Ovis aries: one gene and its partner. Each later gene encodes a partner of the first gene's protein in a complex. Links are inferred from orthologs where the notes say so. Each region holds a gene or a part of one and is shown in the gene's direction. Other genes may lie near its edges. The genes, in order: GRB14 and INSR.

Region 1 (4,109 bases):
GATTCTGTAGGCTCTTTGACTCAAAATTTTGTGCCTCTATGTAGTACTACAGATTTCTCACAGGCTGGGGATTAGCAAACCCTGGGCGTCGGCAGTGGTTGGTGCCACGGGGTGTGTGTGTGTGTGTGTGTGTGTGTGTGTGTGTGTTGGGGGTCACACAGATATGGAGCAGGGGGGTTGCCAGTGTCTTTAGAAGGCAGTGTTTGCCTTTCCCTGGCAGAGGTTGTGAAGGTTAAGAAAACCTGGTTAACAGAAGCCAGGGACAGATGTTACCTAATTTGGTCAAAGAACAAAGAGTGTATAAAACATTTGGAAACCCGGAACAGTGCACTGGGATGGGGCACTTATTGGAAGAGCAGAAACAGATTTACCACTCAGAATTCAGAGTAGGGCGACTGCATCTCAGGTGAGCATAATGTAATTACCACTTCAAGCAGTCTGGATTTGGGGCATGGAATCTTTTGGGTTGGAAGCTTCACTGCACTACTTCACTAGCCCTGTCTTGTACCAGGTACTCCATGACTTGGAGCCTCAATTCCCTTATCTGTAAAACGGGGTAAACGTCTAATTTATGAGGCCGTTGTGAGGTAGAACGCGACTAGGCAGAGTAGGGGCTCATTCGATGGGAGCTGCTCTTATCAGAAGAAAATGAATAATTTTCCTAATTCCTAAGAGGTCAGGTTTACTCATACCTTACTCAGAATTCTCAAACATCTCCGTAGTTTTCGGCACCGATTGTACTGCCTGTTCCCCGTCCACCCCTTCTCCCTCGCCGGTGTCCTCAGCTGCAGAGTGGAAGCAAGAGGCACGTGGGGGAAAGACTGGGACAAACCTGGTCCCCCGCTCTCCTGGCACGGTGGGCCTGTCATGGCGGCCCAGCGACAGCTCTCCAATAGCAGAGCAAGAAGAATGAAAGGTCTAGGGGGTCAGGGCTGCCCAGACCCCTGCCCCGCCTGCGCTCTGCCAGGCTAGCCCCGAGGGAGCGCCCGATCACATGGATCCCGCCTCCCGCGACGCGGATCCGCCCCGACCCCGGGCTCAGCCTCGCGCTCCGGCGCCCACCTGGGGAGCCCGGGGCCCGAGCCTCGAGGGCCGGCAGTCAGGGGCGCGGGCCCCCAGCCAGCGCCCCCCAGCGCCACGGACCGCGAGCGGGGCCCGCCCGGCGCCCTCCCCGCCCCCTCCGCGCCTCGCCCCGCCGCCCGCGGCCCCCACCCACCCGCCGCTCCTCCCCTCTCCCCACCCTCCTCCTCCGCCCCCTCCCCTCCCCCGCCGCCTCGCCTACCGCTCGGCCGAGCGTCTGAGCCGCCCTGGTCCAGAGCGCAGGCGGCGAGGCCACCGCACCTGCAGCGCGCTCGGGCTGCCGAACCGGCACCTCGCCTCCCGCCGCCGGATCTCCTTCTACCCCCACGCCGGGTCTCCCATGACGCCCGAGTCCCCCGGCCGGCGACAATGACCACTTCCCTGCAAGATGGGCAGAGCGCCGCGGGTCGGGCGGCTGCCCGGGACTCGCCGCTGGCCGCCCAGGTGTGCGGCGCTGCCCAGGGGAGGGGCGACGCCCGCGACCTGGCGCCGGGCCCCTGGCTGCACGCGCGGGCACTCCTGCCCCCTCCGGACGCGACCCGCGGCTGTGCGGCAGACAGGTAGGCAGCCCTCGGAGGGCGCGGGGGAGTGTCCTGGGTTGGCAGCCGGCGAGGGGTGAGGAGGCGGTCCTAGGGGGTGAGCCATGTGCCCAGATCTGGGCCAAGTTTGAGAAAGTCTCAGAAGACAATTCCCTTTGAGCTGGCAGAACCTACCGGATGGGCAGGACATTGCGATCTCCCAGCGCCTTATAAATAGCATCACCGATTCATTGAGAGCTCCGGGTCGCTCTCGCCTCTGACCATCGATGTGAACTAGGAGGCCAGGCTCCAGGCTGACCACCCTCCTTCCTTCTTTACTGCGTTAAAAAACAAAATAATCCCTTTTATATATTATAAAAAAATCAGAATAAATCAGTTCGCCTCCCACATGGAGTCTTAGAGCGACCCTGGAGAGGCAAAGTACGGATTGACATTTGAGCAGTCTAGCTGTTCAGCAGGAAAGAATAGAGGCTTTAAAGTGTTTCCCAATCTCCATAGCATTCAGCCCTAAGTGCCTGTAGAATTCACAATTTCACACATACTTTAGGAAAGAAAAAGGCTGCAACAATACAAAAATCAATAGTCCTTTATATTCATACATTTAAATGATGTCTTTTTTTTTTTTTTTCTTCAGATTTTCAAAGTGCTTCAACTTCACTGAAGTTAAAATTACTCTGCAGTGGACCAAAGTACATTAATACTAGCAAGTTCTATTCATTTACCTCCTCAAAAACACTGCCTTGCAGTTTAGTATCTATAAGCACTTGAAAAATCAGCAGACTGTGTGTGGGCCACATTGTGAATGAAATTTGAAGTGAGATGAACCACAGCTATAATTAATAAACCATAACTTTCAAAAGTGATTAGTAGAATAGAATAGGGATGAGTTCACTAAATGTTTATAGACTGTCAATTTAGTGGATGCAAAACAATGTCTAACTCCTCAGGATGATTTTTACTTCAATAATTCTCTAGTCTGTATGTCAGTTTCAGGAAAATTATCAGAAGTGCTGGAAATGGGGCTTCCAGGCCTGGTGATTTTCTTTTTAAAGGCCAAAAGAAAAGAAAGGAAGAAAGGAATGCAAAAGGAGATTGATTTATATCAATTGACATGTTTTATTCTGACCCACAGAAAGTACACCACAGACTTTTCCTGTATACTTTACATTAGTATTGTCACAGAGTGGGGCATTCTGGCCTTAACTTTTTAATCCTGACAGCAATTATATTTTACATTCTGTTTTATGTAAATTACATCCTATGTTCTCTCCGTGTAGGAGAAAAAAGAAAGATCTTGATGTTCTGGAAATGCCATCTATTCCAAATCCTTTTCCTGAGCTATGCTGCTCTCCATTTACATCTGTGTTGTCAGCAGGCCTGTTTCCCAAAGCAAATTCAAGGAAAAAACAGGTATGCATTTTAAAATGTTCTAATTAAACAATCTTAGAAGTTCTATATCCATATAATCTTTAAGATAGTAACTTACAATATTAGCAAAAGGTTAGCATGGCCTATTTTAAATAGCTCTATTAACTGACATAGTTCTTTGCCATTAGTTCCCTTTAGGGTCTCACTTTTCACATCTGTATAGTGGGTACATTAAAACATACCCATCAGGCTTTTGGAATGGATTAAATGAAAGAATATATGTGAAGTACAGAGCCTAGGAGCTATTATTATTCACATTGTAACTGGAGAGTTATATATGATAACAACTGATCAATTTTAACTCAGAAACTGGAAGAGCTGGTAGTGATTTAGAGGGAGAAGGGAATTGACCGGTTCTTTTAATACCTTCTTTAATCTTTCATATTTTCAACCCAAGCCAAACTTATTTACTAAAGGAAATTGATTATGGTGAATCTGTGGTGAAAGGTAAATGGAGTTTTGGACTCCACAGGTTTTCTTTCATTTCAGCGAATTCCTCAGTTTGGAAGTTTCTGACTGCAGAAGACAGATGACTTGTAAGTGATGTTTAGCTTATGGACTTAATTTTTATGATTTTCTTTCAAGTTTCTAGTATGGAGCTGACTTGAGCAAATTAAACTTCAAGAACCAAGCAGCTGTGGGGAGATGCATCACAATTATAAAAAAAAAAAAGTGTTTCCTAGGTTAATCCCATCTCTTCTGAATATACTTCATTCTAGTCTTGAATCAGCAAACAAAGAGAAGCTTCACTATGTACCTTGTTCTTGCAAGGGTTGTTGTTCATAGTCGCTAAGTCGTGTCCAACTGTGACCCCATGTACTACAAACAGCACACTAGGCTACTCTGTCTTTTACTATTTCCCAGAATTTGCTCAAACCCATGACCACTGGGGGCTTCCCTAGTAGCTCAGTTGGTAAAGAATCCACCTGCAATGCAAGAGACCCCAGTTCAGTTCCTGGGTTGGGAAGATCCCCTGGAGAAGGGAACGGCCAGCCACTCCAGTATTCTGGCCTGGAGAATTCCACAGACTGTATAGTTCATGGGGTCGCAAAAACTCGGACA
Region 2 (9,578 bases), on another chromosome or scaffold:
TTGTCCCAAAGAGACTTGCTAAAGGAAGACCCCAGCAAGGTGGTGGTGGTATCTCTCCAAGCCCTCCTTGATGCATAACGAAAGTACAGTATTTGGTGTTTATACTCATGAACCGTGAAATGATCTCTCTCTTTCCATCATGTCTTCAAGTATGGTATGTGTTCAAATGTCAGACCAAAGCCAACGTAAGAAAAACAAAGCCAAAACGAAAGTCCCAAGTGGTTTTTCAAAACTATTAAAGCTTTTATCAATAATTTTGACATGATGTCAGACTTCCTATGGGGTCGCACAGAGTCGGACACGACTGAAGCGACTTAGCAGCAGCAGCAGCAGACTTCCTCAGTGGTAAAGAATCTGCCTGCCAATGCAGGAGACTTAGGAGATGTGGGTTAAATCCCTGGGTTGGGAAGATCCCCTGGAGGAGGGAATGGCAACCCACTCCAGTATTCTTGCCTGGAAAATCCAATGAACAGAGGAGCCTGGCGGGCTACAGTTCATGAGGTCACAGAGTCAGATACGACTGAGCAACTGAGTACATACCTGCCCAGACGTCCAGAAAAGTTGCACAAATAGTGCAATTAATCCTTATATGCACAGTTTATCAGATTAACCAATTTCATCACACTTTTAAAAATCACACCTGCTTTGTTCTTTCTCTGTCTCTTTCTCTTTTTTTCTGAACCATTTGAGAATAAGTTGCAGATATTATGTTCCTTAACCCCTACACACTTCATCTGATGTTTATTACCTAAAGCCAAGGACATTCTGTTACATCACTTCAGTAAAAGGATCAAAATTAATATTGATAGAGTATCACTGTGGAACTGATAGACTCTTTTCAATCTTTCCCACTGTCCCAATAATTTATTTTATTGCAAAAGAAAATCCAGGAGTAACTTTGATCATTTTGTTAAGCCAGATTTTTCTTTCACAAAGCTACCATTTTTCTTTTTTTGGACAAACATGCTGCGAAGAGATACTTGCAGACCATGGAAATACCCCATTACTTTTCAAGCTTCCAACCATCACTTTTAACGTTCATTGATGGCTCTTGCCAGAATCAATTATTTTGGAAATTAGCAAATGGTGATTTTCTACTTTCATTCCAATGCTTTTAAGAAGAGGCAGAGGTTGACTTTCATTTTTTATATCCTGGTATTTTTTTTGAGGGGGTGCGGGGGTAGCTTACAGAAGAAATAATGAGCTTTTTTTCTTCTGGAAGTGGAGGTGTCTTCATTTTCTCCCAGTAAGCCACAACTACAACGATTCTTCTGACTTTATACCCAGCTTTATGTGGAGGTCTTGCATCCTGAAGGATTTCCAGAGGGCAGTATGTCCCTTGGAATTTTAGCAAATGCCACCTGCTTGAAATTGTTGGTGGCTTTTCAGTCAGTTGACTTCAGTCGCTCAGTTGTGTCTGACTCTTTGCAACCCCATGGACTGTAGCATGCCAGGCTCCTCTGTCCATGGGATTTTCCAGGCAAGAATACTGGAGTGGGTAGCCATTCCCTTCTGCAGGGGATCTTCCAGACCCAGGGTCCAACCTGGGTCTCCTGCATTGAAGGCAGATTCTTTATTGTCTGAGCCACCAGGGAAGCCCAACCCTTTGGTATAAACCCTTTAATGCATCCTTGTTGCTTTTAGGATAAAGGGTGTGTTGAAGACAACCCATACATGGTATATCCCTTTTAGTCTCGCCTACCAGCCCAGCCTTCCCCTTTTCTTTCTTTGCTTTCTTTTCTCCAGCTACAGTGCCTGGCTCAGTTGTGAGAACACTGGCCTGTCCTCTGGGCCTTTGCACACGCCGTTCCCTCCACCTGGAACATTTTCTTGATGCTTCCCTGGGCTGGCTCTCTCTCCTCAGATTTCAGTTCAAAATCACCTCTTTGGAGAATCCTTCTGCCTCTCCCCACCTCACCTTATAAAACATCTGATGTGCGACTTAATGGCTTTCTCCTTACACTGGGTTGTGAGGTCTACAAGGAAATGAATGGTGTTTATTTGGCTCCCTGCGAATCCCCACTGCTTACTGCATGTTGATTTTTCCGCTCAACAAATATTTATTAAGCAATGGATATGTCAGTCACTGGGTGTAAAATACTGAACATGATGGACAAGATTTCTGCCTTCCTGGGGAGGGGTGAATACACACAATAAGTCAGAATTTCAGGTAGAGACACCAGCGTGCTGTCTGGACAGGAACAAATGGAGGAGGGGACAGGGAGTGTTTGCAAAGTTGGTCAGGGAAGGCTCACTGGAACAGACAAGTGGAGCCAGACACCAGAAGGACAGGGGAGGCAGGAATAGACTTGAGTTAGAAGAACAGTGGGCCCATCTACTGGCAAACTAATATTTGTTTAATAGATGAAAGGAAGAATGAATGCCCTCAGCCAACAGTTGTTCTGGGTGCTTTGTCATGCTTTATTTCCCCTGGGAGACTGTGTGTGTGCATGCGTGTGCGTGCTCCGTTGTGTGTGTGTGTGTGTGTGTGTGTGTGTGTGTGTGTATGCACACGAGCTCAGTCATGTCGAACTCTTTGCGACTCCATGGACTGTAGCCTGCCTCTACCCATGGGATTTTCCAGGCAAGAATACTGGAGTGGGCTACCATTTCCTCCTCCAGGGGATCTTCCTGACCCAGGAATCTAACCTGCGTCTCCTGCATTGGTGGGCAAATTCTTTACCACTGAGCAACCTGGGAAGCCCTTGCTGCTGCTGCTGCTACTGCTGCTAAGTCGCTTCAGTCGTGTCTGACTCTGTGCGACCCCATAGTCGGCAGCCCACCAGGCTCCCCTGTCCCTGGGACTCTCCAGGCAAGAACACTGGAGTGGGTTGCCATTTCCTTCTCCAATCCATGAAGGTGAAAAGTGAAAGTGAAGTCGCTCAGTCCTGTCCGAGTCTTAGGGACCCCATGGACTGCAGCCTACCAGGCTCCTCCCTCCATGGGGTTTTCCAGGCAAGAGTACTGGAGTGGGGTGCCATCGCCTTCTCCGGGAAGCCCTTACAACTCACCAAATCTGACCTGAAGGTGTCCTTACGTGCATCATACAGATGAGGCCCATCGAGAGAGAGAAAAATTACTCATTCAAGCAGATTCTCACTCCGTTCTGGCTTCTCTGTGCTTAAGGCCCCTCTTCAGCAGGCGGGGTGGCCACTGTCACGTGACTGACGTTCAAACACACACGGACTCTGGGTCTGCGCATTGAAACTTGGGTGTGTCCACCTGTGTTCTACCGAAGATCTCCAGCGCCTGGTTTGCACTTTTTTTTTTTTTTGCTAGTTTCTACACTTTCTCCTAAGGGTCATTTCTCCACCTTGAACCACGCATCGTGCGGAGGGGCCAGGCTACCCAATACTTGAGCGCACGCGGCACGCTCGTGCACGTGGCTGTCCCCAGGGGCCTGGCTCTGGGCGGGGGCGCACTCTGGGGTAGGACATCCGGGGCGCTCGAGGGCCATACTCACTGGCCAGACTGTGACGAGGGGAAGGTGAACGCAACATTTAAGGGAGTACCAAAAAGCCGAGTAACCACGATAAACAATATTTTAATGCAATATTTAAAAAAATAAAAATGAATTTTCTAAAGTCCCACGAAGAACAAACTAGCAAAATGTTTTAAACACGCGATCCGACTTGCTGAGTTGGTCAATCTGGGGCGCTCCCGGGCTCTGAGACAGGAGTCCTGGGGCTGTACGGGGCGCTGGGGCTGGGCAGGCATCTAGGGCGCCCCCTCGGCTACGGCGCGACGGGGGCCTCCAGCGCGGGGCCCAGGATAGGGAGACCGGCGGGCGGGCGGGGCGGCGCCTCCCCCCTGCCCGTCCTCCTTCCACCCCTCTCGGGCCTCTGCCGGGCGCCGAGTCCCTTCCGAGCCCAGATCCGCGCCGCCTTTTCCCGCGGCCCGAACGGGGCCCAGCTGACGGGCCGCGTTGTTTACGGGCCGAGCAGCCCTGGCTCCCGCCGCCTGCCCGCCACCCGCCAGCCCAGGTGCCCGCCCGCCTGTCCGCACGTCCGTTTGTCCGCGCGTCCGAAGATCGGAGCTCCGGAGCGCTCGGGGCCAAGAGCCTAGAGTCAGGGGGGCGCAGCGCGGGGCTCCGGGCCCTGAGATCGTCGGGACGGGGGCGCGGGCCGCGGGGGCCCGGAGTCGGGACCGTCTCCACCCGGCCGCGCTGCCGGATTCGTAGCAGCGGAGGCCGCGCGCCCCTCCCGGGGCCGTATCTAGAGTCCTCCCGGGCGCAGGCTGCGGGACCTTGGGCTGCCCGCGTGGAAGAGAAGGACGCGCGACCCCCAGCGCCTCTGGGGCGGCCGCCTCGGAGCATGCACCCCGCCAGCCAGCGCCCCGCGCTCTGATCCTTCAGCCATGGGCGCCGGGGGCGGGAGCGGGGCGGCAGCCGTGCTGCTGCTGGTGGTCGTCGCCGCGCTGCTGGTGGGCGCCGCGGGCCACCTGTACCCTGGAGAAGGTGAGTCTGGGGGGTCCCGGAGCGGGCGGGAAGCCGCGCGGGTGGGGAGGGGACCCTTTGCCAAAATGGAACCACCCCCCGTTGTGGACGGAGTGCCGTCCTCCGTCGGAGGGCTGGTGGCTCGGACGGTTTCTCCGGCCTCGCGGGGGGCGGGAAGCCGCTGACCTTGGCCTTTGCCCGCCTGGGCTAGCGGTTCCACGACCCGCATGCGGCCCGGGGCTGGAGGAACCTTGCCCTAGTGCCCGCCCCTCCGCGGGCGCCTCTCCCGAGAGCGCTCCTCGAACCCCCGTGTCTGGGCCTCTCTGAGCCCACCACCTGGCTCCAGAGACGGGACACACGTCCTCTCTGGGTCGCCTCCGAGAAGTAGGGTCATCGGACACTCTCACACAGCCAAATGCCCCGGGCACAGACGGTTTGGAGTGAGAATCGAGGGTGACTGACTGAAGGCAGGGTGGTCCCTTGAGATCCCAGCAGCTTGGTGACGCTCCCCCAGGGGCCGAGGAAGTGTAGAACCCGCCCCTTTCTTTCTGGTATCTAGACCCACGGCTACCCCTGACTTCAGGTCCATGTTTATACTCTGGAATTCTGTTTCCAGATGTCGGAGGCAAGCTCTAGCCCTTGGCAACAGCGCAGCTGTAGTAGCAGTAGTGTTGGCTTTTATGATTATTATAGCTGGTGTCACCAGATGCCTCGGGCTGGCCGGTCTTATCTGTCTGGATCTCTGCAGCAGCCCGTGGAGGCTGATACTGTTGTTGGTCCATTTCATAGAGGAGTAAACTGAGGCTCAGGAAGGACACAGAATTCACTTGCCCCAGAATCAGAGCTAGAGAGAAGACAAACCTCTCTGGCTCTGCCCAGGGCTCTGCCCAGCTGCCCACGCCCCAGGAACCCCTGGTAACCTCCCTCCTCTACCTTTTTACCTGTCAGCTGGGCAGGTCTCTAATCTGTGGTCAGCCCAGCACCTTGCCCCCTCTCCCTTCCAATTCTCCCTCATGAGTGTCCCTGGGCTAGCAGCTCCCTGGTATGGGGAGAGGGGTAAGTCCCAGCATTTTCCTTGGGCTTGACAGCACGTCTTTCTGGCTGCAGGTCAAGGATGGAAAATCCTTGAAGAGAATATAACTGGGGTTTCCCACCATGATGGCGGAGGCCCTGCTTTCAAAATATGTGTTGGGTTACTTCTTCAGATTTCTCCATAAAAGGAAATCAGTCCCGATGAGGAAGGGGTCAGGCAGGGAAGGAACAGAAGTTCCTGAGTTGCCTGTCGGTGAGTGGGGATGCACGAGAAAGCACGTGGGGGCTCTGGAGTTGACAAACCGGGTTTGTGGAGCACCTTTGCCAATTAGGCAACGTCTCCAAGCACCCAAGTGCCTGGTATACAGTGAGTGCTCCTCCAAGGAAGGGTAGCAGTGGATTTAGGCTCTTGTTAGAAAAAAAACACACACACACACACACACAAAAACCCAGACCAGCTGTTAGATCTGTGTCCGGCTTTGTGTGTCCATGCCCGTGTGTGTCTGTGTGTGGGTGCACATCTGTATATGCATGCAGTTCCTTGCTCCTCTGTTCCTGGTAGCTTTAGGAATTAATGGTGGATTTGTGCCTGGGCTGGCTTTCCTGGTGGCTCAGATGGTAAAGAATCTGCCTGTAGGAGCCTGGGTTTGATCCCTGGATCGGGAAGATCCCCTGGAGAGGGGAATGGCTATCCACTCCAGTATTCTTGCCCAGAGAATCTCATGGACAGAGGAGCCTGGTGGGCTACATACAGTCCATGGGGTCCCAAAGAGTCCGATACGACTGATCGACTTTCACTTTCAGGGGTCAGTGGATGGATTTGCCACTTCTTGCATGTTTATAGCTTCCACGAGGGAGAGGCTTATGTTTCTCTGTTCACTGCCACAGTTCCAGAGTCTAGAGCAGCCCCTGACACCTAGGAGATGCTTGATACATTTATTTATTTTGACCGTGCTGGGTCTTCATTGCTGTGCTGGGCTTTTCTCTAGGTGTGAGGATCGAGGCTACTCTGTAGTTGCTGTGCATGGGATGGGCTTCTCATTCCAGCGGCTTCTCTTGTTGTGGAGACCGGGCTCCAGGGCACGCGGCTTCAGTAGTTGTGGCTCGTGTGCTCAATAGTTGTGGCTCCCTGGCCCCAGAGTGCAGGCTCAGCAGCTGTGGCACTCGGGCTTAGCTGCTCTGCAGCACATGTGGTCTTCCCATACCAGAGGTCGAACCCCTGTCCTCAGCATTGGCAGGAGGATTTGTCGCCCTTGGACCACCAGGGAAGTCCTAAATATTTGTTCTAGATCCAACTCCTGTCCTTCCTGTTCTTCCCAGGAGTCCAAGTCATGGCTCCTTTATTCTTCAGATAAAACCTAGCTGACACAAATACAAGCAAATTCTACACACTCGGCATTGATAATCTCGATTAATCCTCACCACAGCCCTCCGAGGTAAGGTTTATCATCCATTTCGAAGGTGAGGAACTTGGATGAGGTGGCAGTGCTGAGATGAGAACTCCGGTTTGTTAATAAAAGGTTTCTTAACAGAAGGTTCTTCTTGGGACTCTGAGCCTCCCCGCCCTAACCCCTGTGGTATAAAGGTTAACAAAATACTCTCGAATAAATGACATGTGATGCCCTTCGGAGGTTTGGGGAGGGGCAAGGAACTTTCCGGATCGTTGGTTAATCTCCAGCAGCAAGCAGTGTGGCATTCTGTCTGGGGTGGGGGTGGGGTCGATGGAGATCAGTGGGATTTTGAAGGACTGAGGACTCTCTCCTCGATGTCACATGGGATGGGCCAGCCCATTTCATCCCCCCTGTGGAGTCTCTGTGGCTTGGCTGAACTGGGCAGTGGTTTTCCCTCCCATGTCTCCTTGGGTTGACCCACTCTGGCCCGAGATGACCCAGGAGCACTGCAAAGTCAGAGAATGAAGGCAAAGTGGGATTAATTATAGTGGAAACTGAATCTTGGCAGGGGCAGTGAATTGATGAGTTGAGGTGCTAGATGTTGCTTTTGGATCCCCTTACATCTCGAGGTGGAATCTAGTGTTTCTCTTGTGGTTCTCTGGTGCACTCTGGGACCCTCAGATCAGAACTTCTGCTCTCTGGGTCAGTTCTCTGAGGTTCTTCCTAGTCTTTGCTTCCCTCCTGGTGACCTGCCTCTCGACCCTGCCCTGCTCATTCATAGAGGTCACTGGGGGCGAGCCTCACCCCATGGGCCCCCACCTCACTCCACTTCCTCATTGACATCCTTTATTTTTTGGCTAGAATAGACCTTCTCAATTTCTGTGCTCTTGATCTATGAGGTTGGATAGTTCTTGGTTGCAGGGGGCTGTCTTGTGTATCTTAAGATGTTGCTCACTGTCTGCGGTCTCTGACCAGTAGCAACGCCCCTCTCCAAGTCATGACCACTAAAAAGTGTCTGCAGACACCACCAACTGTCCTCTGATTGAGAACCACTGCTTTTGGTGCTAGTGGTAAAGAACCTACCTGCCAATGCAGGGGACACATGAGGTGTGGGTTCAATCCCTGGATCAGGAAGCTCCCCTGGAGGAAGGCATGGCAACCTGCTCCAGTATGCTTGCCTGGGAAATCTCATGGACAGAAGACCCTGCCAAGCTGCAGTCGATGGGGTCATAAAGAGTCAGACACGACTGAAGTGACTTAGTATGCAGGACACTTATCCACTTAGGTCCCCTCCTCTCTCCCCTCTGTTCAGGGATCTCCATCCACCCAGAAGCCTTTTTCTTTTCAGCCTATAAACACTCAATACTCCCCAGGACCCCGGTACCCACCACCCACCTTTTGCCTTCCTCTGTCAAGCCTCCCCCAACCGCTGATGGGCACTCATCACCCTTGCTCTCTCACCTTTCACCCACTGCTCTGCCCACAGCATCTGGCTTGTGTCTCCATTGCTTTGCCCATGGTGCTAACCAAAGTCATTCCTCACCTACCAATGGCAGCCTCACCCCAGCTGACTTCTCTGGGTTTTGCTTCCCCTCTCCTGGTGAGTTTTCACCTGTCCCTGGCTCCTCCCATTCTCTCTCTTCTTTTCCTCTGCTCCTTTTCCGGGCTTATTATCTTGGCCTTCATTGACGGCCATTCCCTACTCTGACTCTCTCTCTTACGCTCACTTGTTAATTTATATGTGGTCAAAGTCTTTAGAACAGGGGTCGAACCCTGCCCGCCCACGCCTGTTTTTGTAAATAAAGTTTTATTGGCACGCCGCCATGCCCGTTGGTTCACGCATCCTCTATCGCTGCTTTCGTGCTCTAAGGGCAGAGTTGAACGGTTGTGATCGCGTGGCTCCCAACAATATTTACACTTGGGCCCTTTCCAGAGAAAGTTTGCCGACTCTGGATTTAGAACAAACTCCTCGAGGATCGTTATGACATGCCTCATAGCTTGTGTGGTCCCTGGTTCGACTTTGAATGAATCAAGTTAAATGAAATGCCCAGGAAAAACACTGTGTTTTTCCCTTTACAGATCAAGCCTTATTAAAGAAACTGATACCATTTGCTGTGCTGAATGTATGGGTTCTGATGGTGAGAAAATAACAGTGATGTTCCTTCTTTGGGTGTGTCTGTCTGAGAGATCTTTGAGTTTATTTGTTTAAACCGTCTTCTTGGCATTGAATGAGGACTCTGTGCTATCAGCCCTGTCTCTAGTGCCAAGAGAAAGTGTTATCTGCTGGGAGATACCACTTGCGGGGCCTCTTGAGAACCCCTTATGTAAATTTCTATGAAGAACACAGTGGGAGTGACTTGCTTTATGTTTTGCAATTGGATCATATTTATGGTTTTCAAATTAAAATAATAACTGCATTCTCATTGCAAAAAAAAATTGCACAAGTTTACCGGGGGGAGGGGGGAATAAAAGTTCCCTTTTGTCCCTAAAACCGCTGTGTTTCTGTCGTGGGAGATGACTACGCTATGTTTGGACTTCCCAGGTGGCCCAGTGGCAAAAAATTCACCTGCCAAAGCAGGAGACACAGGTTTGATCCCTGGGTCGGGAAAATGCCCTGGAGAAGGACATGGCAACCTACTCCAGTATTCTTGCCCAGATAATCCCATGGACAGAGGAGCCTGGCAGGTTCAGTCCCCTGGGGTCCCAAAGAGTCAGACGTG

The links.
Region 2: the proteins of GRB14 (region 1) and INSR are in contact, whole or in part, in a crystal structure (PDB 2AUH), measured with the Homo sapiens proteins. The link is inferred for Ovis aries from reciprocal best matches to the Homo sapiens genes GRB14 and INSR. Residues at the interface, in NP_004481.2 of Homo sapiens: Glu373, Asn374, Ser375, Leu376, Val377, Ala378, Met379, Asp380, Phe381, Ser382, Ser386, Val388, Ile389, Glu394, Val398, Ala399, Glu401, Glu402, Gly403, Leu404, Trp406, Arg407; in NP_000199.2 of Homo sapiens: Leu1065, Arg1066, Ile1069, Glu1070, Lys1112, Arg1116, Arg1163, Met1180, Arg1182, Tyr1190, Lys1192, Gly1193, Gly1194, Lys1195, Gly1196, Leu1197, Leu1198, Pro1199, Val1200, Trp1202, Ser1207, Leu1208, Lys1209, Asp1210, Gly1211, Gln1235, Asn1242, Glu1243, Leu1246.

Annotation. Positions count from the first base shown.
Region 1 is NC_056055.1:144,978,769-144,982,877, forward strand, and holds the start of GRB14 (growth factor receptor-bound protein 14), read left to right. Parts: upstream 1-1,309; 5' UTR 1,310-1,449; coding exon 1,450-1,640; intron 1,641-2,896; coding exon 2,897-3,029; intron 3,030-4,109. UniProt on the Homo sapiens protein: Adapter protein which modulates coupling of cell surface receptor kinases with specific signaling pathways. Binds to, and suppresses signals from, the activated insulin receptor (INSR). Potent inhibitor of insulin-stimulated MAPK3 phosphorylation.
Region 2 is NC_056058.1:13,930,560-13,940,137, reverse strand, and holds the start of INSR (insulin receptor), read left to right. Parts: upstream 1-3,871; 5' UTR 3,872-4,356; coding exon 4,357-4,456; intron 4,457-9,578. UniProt on the Homo sapiens protein: Receptor tyrosine kinase which mediates the pleiotropic actions of insulin.